2 linked regions of the Schizosaccharomyces pombe genome follow. The gene in region 2 interacts genetically with the main gene of each other region. Each region holds a gene or a part of one and is shown on either strand. Other genes may lie near its edges.

What was found. A genetic interaction does not mean that the proteins touch.
Region 1: of dna2 (region 2) and cdc27, a mutation in one rescues a mutant of the other (synthetic rescue), as found in Schizosaccharomyces pombe (2 studies listed by BioGRID, with this or other methods).

What each region holds. Positions count from the first base shown.
Region 1 is NC_003423.3:1,060,058-1,065,495, reverse strand, and holds cdc27 (DNA polymerase delta subunit Cdc27), read left to right. Parts: upstream 1-2,071; 5' UTR 2,072-2,118; coding exon 2,119-2,172; intron 2,173-2,221; coding exon 2,222-2,277; intron 2,278-2,333; coding exon 2,334-2,500; exon of another isoform or gene 2,501-2,554; coding exon 2,555-2,622; exon of another isoform or gene 2,623-2,678; coding exon 2,679-2,786; exon of another isoform or gene 2,787-2,860; coding exon 2,861-3,526; 3' UTR 3,527-3,778; downstream 3,779-5,438. Other genes in the region: fol1 (dihydropteroate synthase), read right to left, coding at 1-1,296; pre-rRNA processing protein Esf1, read left to right, coding at 3,926-5,438.
Region 2 is NC_003423.3:3,591,184-3,599,571, forward strand, and holds dna2 (DNA replication endonuclease-helicase Dna2), read right to left. Parts: upstream 5,774-8,388; 5' UTR 5,510-5,773; coding exon 5,152-5,509; exon of another isoform or gene 5,107-5,151; coding exon 2,313-5,106; intron 2,265-2,312; coding exon 1,550-2,264; exon of another isoform or gene 1,528-1,549; intron 1,503-1,527; coding exon 1,176-1,502; 3' UTR 1,108-1,175; downstream 1-1,107. Other genes in the region: kae1 (EKC/KEOPS complex N(6)-L-threonylcarbamoyladenine synthase subunit), read left to right, coding at 1-563, 604-1,063; cell wall alpha-1,3-glucan synthase Mok13, read left to right, coding at 6,388-6,744, 6,785-8,388. UniProt on the Schizosaccharomyces pombe protein: Key enzyme involved in DNA replication and DNA repair.

The sequences.
Region 1 (5,438 bases), 2.5 Mb from region 2:
AGGGTGTACTAAGTCTGGGCTCAAGGCCAGCAATGGACGTAAAACAAACTCACGTTCTTGCAGCCCTAAATGGGGAATAGTCAAAACTTCTGATTCATAAACACAATCTTCGTACAAGACAATATCGAGATCTATACACCTTGGTCCTTTTAAAATTGTTTTGATTCGACCCATTTCTTGTTCAATGGATTGACAAGCTCTTAAAAGATTGATAGGCGACATTCTGGTTTCAATTTTGCAAACACCGTTCAAAAAAGAAGGTTGGTCTTTATAATACATCGGCTCTGTTTCGTACAAAGGGGAAACATCCAACACACGAATACCCTCTATTTTATGCAACATAGATAATGCTGTTTGGATTTGCTCAAATTTGTCACCAATATTTGAACCAAAAGACAAATAAGCAATTTTGTTCTTAGTGGATTCGTATTTATGCAGAGACTCTTGTAAAAAGTACGACCGTGTTCGATAAATTTGCACCGCAGAAGCATTGGCGAATGTGATAGCACTAGGTTTCTCAGCTTTAATGCTTATATCGTCTAGATTCTTTGTAAAACAAAGATACTTTGAAAGATTGACAACCAAAGCTTCTATAGTCAGGAAAGCAGATTGTTCGACATATTCGGCGATTGCGCGCGCGATCTCTAAAGCTTCGACCTCCGTATTTGCAAATGATATATTTAAGCAAACTCTTTGCTTCTCTTGTCGTTCAAATGCGTGAATTCCTAATATCGTAGCTAACTCCAAATCCGAGAATTCAATACGATCTACAAAGTTACTGGTAGAATTGCGTTCGCGCTCAGCATAATAGTGCAATCCATTTTTAGACCTTAAAACACATTTGGGTAAAGTAAGCTTAATAGAAACATGCGAGGTATCAATAACGTCTTCAAAACATAAACTTGCAATTTTATTGACCAAATCTTTAGGGGTTGTAAAAAAAGACCCTTCAATTTCTTTTCGTAATAGCTTAGAAGCTATACCGTAATGAATCGTTGATTTTAACTCGTCTTTTTCTCCAGCTAACTGAACATTGTTTCTCATATATACATCAATTTGCACTGGCTGAGGTTCCTTTCTTTTCCATTGGTCTTGACCCACTACAGCAAATGTGTTAAGATTTTCAACTACGACAGTGTCATGTATCAAGTCCATTTGTCTAGTAGGATGTCGTAGAGATGAGAAGCGGAGTTGTCTGGGGATAGTGCTGACTATTCTAGGTATTTTGGCAAAACCATGGAGAGAATTATTTCTAATGAATGGATAGATTCCCCAAAGGTTTACTAAACTTTTCATGAGAGTTTAAAGAATTGATTATCTATATTGGAAGTATTTGCTGAAGCGACCAACACCATGATAAGTAAGAATAAGCAATACCTACGGTATCCTGATGTCAATTATCTAAAATGAAGGCATATGGGATAAAGAATTGTAGCATTATTTGACTGTTATTAAATTTAATTCATTATTGAATACAGCTGGGAATATGTATATACTCTGATCATTTCTATGGAGCATAGAGCGATACTGAGAAATAATATTATAAGAGATTTGTCAGATGACTACATTAATGTGCTACAAATCATTATACCCGAAAATAGAAATAAGGGAGAATCAAGTTTGATTAAATATAAAACATTCCAACAACTTTGTGAAACTCAACCTTACGCTATCAGCTTAAAAGCAGAAGGAAATTAGTAGAGAAAAAAAATCAAATTGCCATGTTCAAAATTAATAAAATTTGAAAAACATTCTACTAAAAAATGCCGTAAATTACTAAATCAATTTCTGTCAGCGTTGATGAAGTAACTTCCCATTCAATTTTAAATCTTTCATTAGCATACTTCTATGAACTGGATAGCAGCAGTAATTGAACATGCGATGTCAATATTTAGATTTTAAATATTTTACATATTGTAAATGTAGTTAAGCATGTATACTCCATTAATGAAAATGTAATCTTTCATACATATTTCGTCTGCGCTGGCTTCAGTACTTAGCCTACCTTAGGATTGTTCCCACTAATTTTCAATTTCGTTGATTTTACACACTGCTTCTTATTCTCGTAAATACCACTTTCCTAAGGAATACTTAGCGGAAAAAGAAATTTCTAAAAAAATGGAGGAATGGAGAAACTTCTTAGATATTAAAGTTATCAATGAATCTTCACTTGTAAGATATGAAATTTCAACAAGAATTTGAATGTCTAACTGTATAAAAGGTAACTGTAGATAATTTAAGTCTGCAATTGGATATATCCAGTGAAAAAGCACAAGAGTAAGGAACAATACGCATTATTTTTTATTTTTATTATTAATAATTCATACTTTCAGATATCTTAATATGTTTTATCAAGGCAACGATTTTTTGTATCCTATATACCTTATTCATGGACAACCTATAGATGATGAAATTAATTTGGAAATTGACGAGGAATCTCAACCTATATCTAATTTTCCTGTTTTGCAATACATTTTGTGTGATAAGTCTTCTCTACAAGGTTTGTTATTGTCAATTCCGATCATTCGATAGCAGATTCGCTAACTATTTGTAGAGAAACAAAGTAGATTGAAAAGTGGGTATAAAACTGTTATATTTGCTCTTTCATCTGCTCCATTAAGTGTAAGTATTCGATAAGCTGTATTTTATATTGTTACAAACTAATTGATTTAATTAAGGATTTTGACGAATTATTACCTGCAGTATATGAAATAAGAGAGAAAGATGTTTTATACAAAAAAGAAGATGCTGATAAGTATGGATTTATTTTCAATGAAAATTCCGTGGTAAGTAATTTATATCACAACAATCGTTGTTTGACATTCGATCCTTCCGTCTTCGGAAGACTAACTTATTGTAGCCTCGTGTTTTGAAAAAGGCACCTTCAACTCATTCCCCCCAATTATCTGTTCCCTCAAAGACATCGACAATCGATAAGACTGACACACGTAGTACAGAAAAGACTAAAGGGAAAGATATTTTCAGTAATGCAAGGAACCAAAAGGGAAACTCATCTCGTAAAAATAAAAAAGCTCCTCTTGAAAATCATAAAGAAAAGGAGCCTCTCTTGCCAAAGGAGGAGAAGTTGTCTGAGCAAGCAAAGAGAGAGCGCGATGATCTGAAAAATATTATGCAGCTAGAAGATGAATCAGTATCTACCACTAGCGTTCACGATTCTGAAGATGATAATTTAGATTCTAATAATTTCCAATTGGAAATTGGTACCGAAGCAAAATCTGCTGCACCTGACGAACCTCAGGAAATTATCAAATCCGTATCCGGTGGAAAGAGACGTGGGAAAAGAAAAGTTAAAAAGTACGCGACAACGAAAGATGAAGAAGGATTCTTGGTTACTAAGGAAGAAGAAGTCTGGGAATCATTTTCTGAAGATGAAAACATCTCAACTGGTACTTCAAATGTTGTTAGAAACAAACCGACTACTGTAAACATTGCAACTAAGAAGAAGAATACTGCACAAAGTAAACCACAACAAAAGTCTATTATGTCCTTTTTTGGAAAGAAATAAGTTACTATTCATTTTCGATAGTATTAAAACATGTGTTCACGAAGTCCCTTCAATTCTCATGCAAGCTATTATCAGGAGTTTTATTCATATAGAAAAACTGTTAATGTTAGTACAACCTTTAATCCTAATCTACTGTTTTTAGTTTTGTTTACACTATTCACAACCAACTATGTAAGTCTAAGAGAAGTCGAAATCAATTATCAATACATCTTTTAATTTTAAATATCATAAATAAATATGTTTCCTCAAAGCATAGAAGAATCGATTCTTTTTTTTATTAGAAGTATTAAATACTCCATACATTAATGAACCACAATGCGTTAATGTGCGTTAACTACAACACATAATTTGAAAGTTGAACTTCATATTTAGTCAAAGCCTTGTATATTGGAAGTAGTCATGGGCAAAAAGCAGACGAAGCCTATTAATGCTAAATCAAGGAGTGAAAGCAACGTAGTTGCGGATCCTAGATTTCAATCAGTTCACTCTGATCCTAGATTTTCTAGACTTAAACGTGGCAATTTTAAAGTAAAAGTTGATGAGCGGTTTAAATCTCTCAAGGAGGATAAGGACTTTAAAACTACTGCCAGTGTTGATCGATATGGCCGTCCTCTCAACCAAGATAAGGCTACTAAAGAGATTGATAGACTGTATGAACTGGAAAATGAAGGGTCGTCCAGTTCGTCTGAATCATCGGAAATTACTGACAACGAAGAAGTCGCTTCAGCGTCTTCGAAATCCACAAAATCGGAAGAATTAACCGATGAGGAGTCCGAAGATGAGGAAGTATATGATCCAGCTCGTGGTGAGGGAATTATTAGTACTTCGGAAAGTAGCGATGAAAGCGACGCTGAAAGTGAAACTGAAGCTCAACCGGAGATATCCGAATTAGCTGGAATCGAGCCAGAAGAGAATATTCCTCGTGGTTCAGAAACTAACCGTCTTGCTGTAGTAAACATGGATTGGGATAATCTTCAAGCAGTTGATCTTTTTGTTGCTCTTTCTTCTTTTTGTCCTCCTGGTGGGAAGTTACTGAAAGTGTCGATTTATCCCAGTGAATTTGGAAAATCCAGAATGGCTGCGGAACATGTTCAGGGTCCTCCACGTGATATATTTACTCCAGCTGACAATCAACCTTCTAGCGCCGAATTGCATGAGGCTCAAAAATTTGGTTTTGATAACAATGAGTCTGATCAAGATGAGGAAGATGCTTTAATAGAGGAGGATTTAGGCAACGAGTTTGATATGGTAAAATTACGCCAGTATCAATTAGAAAGGCTTCGTTACTATTACGCAGTAGTGGAATGTGATAGTGTAAGAACGGCAAAGGTTATATACGAAACTTGTGATGGCGCTGAGTATGAAACTAGCGCTAATATTTACGATTTAAGATTCATTCCAGATGATGTTACATTTGACGACGATGAATCTCGCGAAGTATGTACTAAAGCGCCCGAAAAATATGAGCCGAGAGATTTTGTCACCGATGCATTGCAACATTCAAAAGTTAAACTTTCGTGGGATGCTGAGGATCCACACAGAAAGGATTTAATTAAAAAGGCTTTTACTTCTCAGGATATTGAAGATTTAGACTTTAGCGCTTACATTGCCTCAAGTGAATCTGAAGATGAGGATGTAGATGTTATTCGTTCTCGTTACCAAAAGTTATTAAGTGGTGATGCTGATGACTTCCAAGCGAATAGTAACCCTTTTGAGGATGATGACAAACTTGAAGGCGCCAATGGTGAGATGGAGGTTACTTTTACTTCAGGTTTTGATGTTGATAACAATGCGAACTCTTCGGAAAAAGATGAAACCACTATTGAAAAATACAAGCGTAAGGCCGCTGAAAGAAAACAAAGACGGAAAGAATTGAGACAGCTTAAGAAAACAAAAGACGATGAAGGTGAAG
Region 2 (8,388 bases):
GCACTTGGATTAGAGGGTTCAGCAAACAAATTAGGCGTTGGTATTATTTTGCATGATACCAATGGATCGGCTAAAATATTAGCAAATGTCAGACACACTTATATCACTCCTCCCGGACAGGGATTCTTGCCCAGCGATACTGCTAAGCATCATCGTGCGTGGATAATCCCTTTAATTAAGCAAGCGTTTGCTGAGGCAAAAATTTCTTTTAAAGATATTGATTGCATTTGTTTCACAAAGGGGCCAGGAATCGGTGCTCCTCTGAATAGTGTAGCTCTTTGTGCTAGGATGTTATCACTAATTCACAAGAAACCTTTAGTAGCAGTTAATCATTGTATTGGTCACATTGAAATGGGTCGTGAAATTACGGGTGCACAAAATCCTGTCGTGCTTTATGTTTCTGGGGGAAACACTCAAGTAATTGCATACTCAGAGAAGAAGTATAGGATTTTTGGTGAAACGCTTGATATTGCTATAGGCAATTGTTTGGATCGATTTGCCAGAATCATTGGTTTGTCCAATGCACCTTCACCTGGTTACAATATTATGCAAGAAGCAAAAAAGTAAGACTCACTTTGATGTTTTATACTAATTTTTTCCTAGAGGCAAAAGATTTATAGAGTTACCCTATACTGTTAAAGGTATGGATTGTTCATTTTCCGGATTGTTGTCAGGGGTTGAAGCGGCAGCTACAGAGCTATTAGACCCAAAAAATCCGAGTTCTGTTACAAAGCAAGATCTTTGTTACTCTTTACAGGAAACTGGCTTTGCAATGCTAGTTGAAATTACAGAACGCGCGATGGCACATATCAGAGCTGATTCTGTTTTAATTGTTGGAGGTGTTGGATGCAATGAACGTCTCCAACAAATGATGGCTGAAATGAGTTCGGATAGAGGCGCTGATGTTTTTTCTACAGATGAACGTTTCTGTATTGATAATGGTATAATGATAGCCCAAGCAGGGTTGTTGGCTTATAAAACCGGGGACCGATGTGCCGTCGCAGAATCGACGATTACTCAAAGATATCGTACTGACGATGTTTATATATCATGGAGGGATTAATACTTATATTCATGAACAAGGATCAGATGAATTTTATTTTAGGCATTTATATATACATTCTTCATTATGAAGATCGTATCCAGTAAAATATTGAGTTTTTTGAAGTAGATTATCAAAATTCCAGTTGAGGTAAAATAGCTTTTTCACATAAATTGTCACTATTAAAAAACCTTTGGTTCTTTCTAATAATAACTTTAGCATTATTTGTCGTTGCAACCTGAGAACAATCCTTAATTGGAGAGCTATTCTCGTCAAATTTCGTTGCTATATCATTCTCATTTAACGTGAAAATCCATTTGTTTTTTTCTAATAATTTCAATAAATGAGAAACTATATTTGAAGACGAAAGAGTAGATAACGAGCCAAACATAATACATTTCACTTTCGCCCTGCTTAAAGCAACGTTCAAACGATGCCAATCGCGTAGCAATTCTCCAACCTAAATAAATGGTTAGCAGTTGTGTAAATAATTGGTTCAATACTCACTAAGTTTTTACTGTTGGATCTCACAAAAGATATTAAAATGATGTCCTTGTCTCTTCCTTGATAACGATCGACAGTGTTAATTTCTATTTCAGTGAATGATTTAAGATTCTTAGAAAGCAACTCCACCTGACTTTTGTAAATTGAAATTATCCCGATAGAACTTTGCTTAACGCCTCGTTCCAAGAAGGAGGAAACTGCTTGTTCTATCAAAAAAGCTTCAGTATGATTTTCTAGAATATTATTAGTTTTTGATTCAACTCCCAGAATATCATCGGTATTAAAAAATATGACTGAATGACTAGGATTGATTAACTTGTTGACCCAATGTAGGCTAGACGACGAATCGGGTAAACCATCACTTAGATGAGCTTTTGGCAAAATTAATTTTTTTTGGGATATCGTCTTGGACCCACACACCAAATTGCCGCCATAAATAAGTTCACTAGATAATGAATTAATGTCTTCATTCATACGATATTGTAGTCTTAAAGTGGTAACGGCTTCAGGATGCTTTTCTGATAGTAATTTAAATAGACTGAGCGACAAACCATCCTTAGATGTTCTTGAATTTTTTACTAAAGGAGGAAGTTGATAATGATCACCAACTAAAACAAATTTTTCAGCAAGCTGCAAAGGGCCTAAGCAAATTGGTAGAGGTATTTGGGATGCCTCATCAATTATACAATAATCGAATTTTCTTTTATTGAAAATGGAACTAATGTTGTTAGTAGTTTGTTCATTGCCGTCGCTTTCAATTACTTACTGATATACCCCTAGAGAAGAGCATGCAACTATTTGGGGGTCTTCGTAAAAATGTTTTAATGACGCTAAGTCGTCAAACGTCGTTCCTTCAGTCAAACAAAATTCTTTTACTAGGGGATGGATTTTATGAGGAGATCCTAAGCGGACGATTGTGCTATCACAACCCTTCAGTTTAATTAAAATGTTATCAACTGCTAAATGCGTAAAAGAAGTAAGAAGTATTTTCTTCTTTTTGGCAAGCAATGATCTGATTAAGCTAGAAATTGTAGTGGTTTTCCCCGTTCCAGGCATTCCGAGTATCAAACTATAATGTTCTGCAGCGTGGCATTTCTTTAAAGCTGTAATTTGATCTTCGTTTAAACATTTCAAAAATTCAGGATCGATTAATGCACTATTACAAAATTTTGGAGGCTTCAAACGGATAATCATGTCCCTTATAATTAAGGGAGCATCTGGTAATACAGAAGACATCAAGGTACCTCTTATTGATGCAATTCCGCTCGAAAATTCGTCCTTATCAATTCTGTACCTCGTATGGTTACTTCCGATAAATGACAATTTGGAATCTTCATAGTTACCAAAAAATACCTGGTTTTTTTTGAAATCAAAGTTAGGCATCTTTAGCCATGGAATATGAAGTCGATGACGAGTTCGTACTTCAATACATGAATCTTGAATATGGACTATGTGTCCTTTAGCTAGTGACCAGTGTCCATGTTCATCAGAAATAAATACTCGTTCACCAACGCTGAAGCCTGAGTGCAAGAAATTTCGAGGATAACCATTGTCATTTAAAAAAGCGAATTTGTAATGAAAAACCCTGTCATCAATTTCTAAACAAACGATATCCTCTTTAGTAATGTATAAAGGATACAGAGTTTTTCCATAAGCTTCTAGCTCTTCTGTATCAAAAGTCAACACATCGCCTCTTTTTAGTAGTAAGAGTCGTTCCTCTTGATTTAATAACTTCTCCCACTTCTTATAAAATTCAAGATCCTCATCTTTTACTTCGCGCATCCATTCATTCCATGACTCAGTCAAGCCGTTACTATTAGCTACTCCTTTATCACTCATCTTTTGAAAGAACAAACATTCAGAAACTAAACTGCAGTGATCGCAAATTTTTCGGTTCGAAATCATTTCAGGAAGGCTGCGCCTAAAGTTATGCTGTGCAAGAGAATTTCTTGTCATGATCAACCCTCGAAGTTGGGAGTTACTTGCAACCAAATTCTTGATAGTACTATTTTCCAAATAGCATAATAATGCCTGATTAGTATTGATACCATAACGATCTGAAATGAGTAATGTATAAAGCAAACTTTGAGCAAAATGGCTAATATTGTCGACATATCGGCCAGTTTTAAGCTCTAACGGAAGTGTGAGGGTTGACGAAGACTCAGGTTTTTCAGTTAAAACCACCTCAACTGTAGCATCGATATTACCTTTTAATCCAAATCTGGGTGACCATATGGATTCCTCAATATCGAGAAGCCTTGAAATGTGAATACTTTCATTGTTGTTGTCATTTTTTTTACTTATTAAATATCTTTCAACAATAGATTTAAGAAGGGGAAGCCTCGCATCAAGTTCCTCTCGAATTTCATCGAGCGACAAATCAGCAAAATAGATATCAGAGATGTATGTTTTTATTGATGTTTCAAGGTTGATATCAACATTTTCAAGGGCATCAATACCTCTGTATAATGCGTGTTGAAAAAAATCATGTAAAATGTTTCCAGTTACCATAGCTTTTGTAGGAGGTCCATAAATGCCAACCCTGTCAGATATTACGGCTTTCCTCAAACAAGGAAAAGAGCTGGCCACTGCCGTAGCAGACATTAAAATTTTCGGATGTATGATAATAAGTCCTTTATCGTTGTCAACGATAGCGGTATTATCTTTGTCAAATGTAGCTTCAACACGGATAGAATCCCCTACAAAAATACTAGTCTCAGTCCAATCACCGCGTAAAAATAACTGATGCAGTATATCATTTGCTTCCAAAATCAACTTTAATTGTCGAAAGTGATTCCCTTCATGAAAAATGAAGTCTTCGTGAACTTCTAATACTGTGTATTCGGAGGAAAACTCGCACAATTCACCAGGAGTGCATCCATCACACGAATCATCCCAATCATCGATAAAGTCGCTATTGATATCCGGCAATGAATTACAAGCTTTATCAAGAGCAAGGTTCACAGGTTCTTCATTTATTGTAGCATCAGATGCTTTTGTTGCTGAACAATAAGATTGCAAATCACCTCCCACATGGTTGACCTTAGCTGTCTTTTCTATGTCCTTTGCAGAAGCAGTTACTGTAGAATTAGGTAATTGTGAGTATTGGCGTTCAAGGGAATCTAATGCTGCCAGATCTTCAGCTTCTAAGGCAAAATCATCCTCGTCAATTTCGGTATCTGATCCTTTGAGAAGACAACTGGAATTTGCAGCAATTCTTGATTGCTCAGATGATCTTGCATTACGAATTATAGACACCAAGCTAGGGACTTTATGCAGGTTATTTCCTTGGTTTTTTACTTCATCATACGATCCGAAGCTTCTACTCTGGTTTTCCGAAACATTTGAACTCGACAAATTATTGTTTATCAGTGGCTTATTATCTGAAGCACATCGTCGTAATAGGACAGTTTCATCCGTATATAATGTAAACACATCAGATTTTGAGTTCGTTGACACTGGTTTCATATCTATAATCGTTGAGTCCGTCGTTTGATGATCCAGCAAATGTTGAGTAGAAGAGCTACGACACAAATCCTTCGAAGTTTCTTGAAAACATACTTCTAAAAGTTAAAATACACGTCTGAATACAAGAAAAATCATACCTGGCATGTCTTGGCTATTCAAGTCAGATTTCCGCGTGAAAGATTTGTCAGGCTTTAAATCGTCAGTAATTTCTTTATGAGCTTTAGTAAATGGGGAAAAAGATGTTGAGGATTCATTAAAAGTATTCTTTCGTTTAATTGGTAATGAAGAATGCTTTTTTTCAGAGATTTTAGGTGAACTAATTTCTGTAGATGCATTGTACGCAAAATTTTCCAGCTTCAATTTAGTTCTCCCATTTAGCAAATAGTTTTTCCTGAAAGGAGTTGAATTAGTTTTTTTTAAATTACCATGATTGTTGTCAGTAGTGGCACATATACCTTTCACAGATGAAGTTGTTTTCGACTGGTCGTTGAACATTATTAATTTACAAAAAAAGGAAGGCAATAAACATTAAAAAATAAAAAAGTTTGTTATAATTATACTCAAATAACCAGGCTAAAATTCAACCAGGTAATGAGCTTTGAAAAGAACGACTAAAACACGTGAAAAAGAATGATGATCAACGATGTAAATGCAAAGAAAAAATAAATAGAAATAAATTAAAATAAAGCCTTAACGACTGCGCTTATTCTCAAAATAATAGGCAATGCTCGTAAAATAGATATTTGGAGTATGGTTGTCGGAGGTTTCAGTTTTATAGATACTCGGTTCCCTAACGCCAACAATGCTAGTTAATTTATTTCCTTAGGTTTTCCGCAGTCATGTTCTCGATTGATTTTAAATAAAATTACACATGAATATGTGCCAGTAATCTTTACAATGAACCTTGTGAAGTCGTTCACAGGTAAATTGAACTAAAACCAAGTCCGATGAAAGCAAAATTATTGATTTTCCTTAATACATAATTAATAAATATTATCTGTATCGAAATTCGCTTCAACTCTTCTTAAGTATAAGCTTATTAACTGAATGACCGTTTGCATACAAAAGCGCAAACTGCGATTTAATTATAAAATAAAATTCCTTCTTAATTTTTTTAAAATTTATTTTTAAAATAGAAATGCATGTGTAAGCAAAAATTAATATAAATTTTTTAGGTTCGTTTGTTTGTTTACATTCCAAAAAGTTGACTTATTGGTTATTGTACTCTTCTCGTATTTAGAAGCAACCATCATTTGAATCGGGAAAAATCTTGATAAATTCATATATAATAGCATTAACGATCGCATTAATTTTAATAAAACTATTTTGAACAGGGCAGCTTCTTCACGTCAATTGAGGAAATACCATAAACGATGCGAAATAAGAATATTCTCGTCTTGAATTTGATATTAAGTATACCAAGGTTGGTCTTTACTGCTAAATATGATGAAAGAGAATCTTTATGGAATTTAAACCAAAATCAATCAGCTACCGATCCTCTAGATTATTGGGGAAAATGGGAAAACCATCAATACCATCCCAGTCCAGATGATTGGCAAGTGCCATTTTACACAGTTATTTTGGATAAATGGAAAGATGGTGATCCTAGAAATAATGAAGCTAACAATACTATTTATGAGTATGATATTTATGAAACTGGTTTTCGAAACGGAGGGGATATAATAGGCCTGAAAGACTCACTAGATTATTTGGAGATTATGGGAATAAAGGTAAGATAGAGTTATGCTTTTATGCTCGTTAACGAATAAGGTTATCTACATCGCCGGTACACCATTTTTAAATCAGCCATGGGGTGCTGATCAGTACTCACCACTGGACTACACCATCCTCGATCACCATTCTGGAACAATTGCACAATGGCGTGACACGATAGAAGAAATCCATCGTAGAGGGTTTTATTTAGTTCTGGACCTTACAATTTCTACGTTGGGAGATCTTATAGGGTTTCGGAAGTATCTGAACAGTACTACTCCATTTTCTTTATTTGAACATGAGGCGGTGTGGAAAAGCAACGTCATTTATCCAGACTGGAATTTCACAAATAAATATGACCCAAAGTGTGAGCTTCCCAGATTTTGGGGTGAAGATGGCGCGCCTGTTGTGATTGATTATGTTGGTTGTTATGATTCAGATTTCGATCAGTATGGCGATACAGAAGCCTTTGGTACTCATCCTGATTGGGAACGTCAGCTTTCAAAGTTTGCTTCTGTCCAAGATAGACTTAGAGAATGGAGGCCATCGGTTTCAGAAAAGTTAAAACACTTCGCATGTATGATCATTGCCATGTTAGATGTGGATGGTTTTCGTATTGATAAAGCTACTCAAATTACAGTTGATTTTCTTGCTTCATGGGCTCATTCTGTGAGGGGGTGTGCAGCAACGTTTAATAAAAAGAATTTTTTTATACCTGGTGAAGTAACTGGTTCTTCAAGTTATGGCTCAATTTATTACGGTCGTGGTCGTCAACCAGATCAACGTCCTCCGTCGATACTTACTTCACTTAATTCATCATCCCTTAAAGAAAACTACTTTCTGAGGGAACCTAAAGCGAATGCCCTAGATGCTTCTGCTTTTCACTATTCACTCTACCGTGCCATGACCAGATTTCTGCAAATGGACGGAGATCTGCAAGTTGGTCATGATCTTCCCGTAGATTTTACAGATTTGTGGAATGCTATGGCAGTTAATGAAGACTTTTATAATCCTAACACTCATAAAGTTGACCCGCGTCACATGCTAGGGATTACTAACCATGATGTTTTTAGATGGTCAGCAATTGAATTTGGATTAGAACGTTTGCTATTAGGAACCATGATAACGTACTTTCTTTTTCCAGGAGCACCCTCCATTTATTATGGTGATGAACAAGGATTCTATGTACTGGATAATACAGCAAACAATTATCTTTACGGTCGCCAAGCGATGCCTTCATCTATAGCATGGAAAGTTCATGGTTGTTATGCACTGGCATCTGATCAGTATCCAGAACTTCCTGTCATAAAGGCATATCAAGGGTGTAATGATGATTGGAATATAATGGACCACTTTGATTTTGCTAAACCCGAATTAAAAATGTTCAAGATATTCAACTTTATTAGGGAACAATACCCGGCCTTAAAATCTGGATGGAAATCAGTTAAACTAAGAAATTGGACTGAATATGTACATTTTCCTAATAGCGGAAAGACGCCTACGGAAGTTGGGGTTTGGAGTATAGTCCGCGGTGCTTTAGAGACGTTGCAGAATTTTGATGCCCGTAATAATACTGCTTGGAATGGAGACATTTGGATACTTTATACTAATCAAAATAGAACGACTACACTCGATTATCAATGCTCTTCCTCTAATTCCGT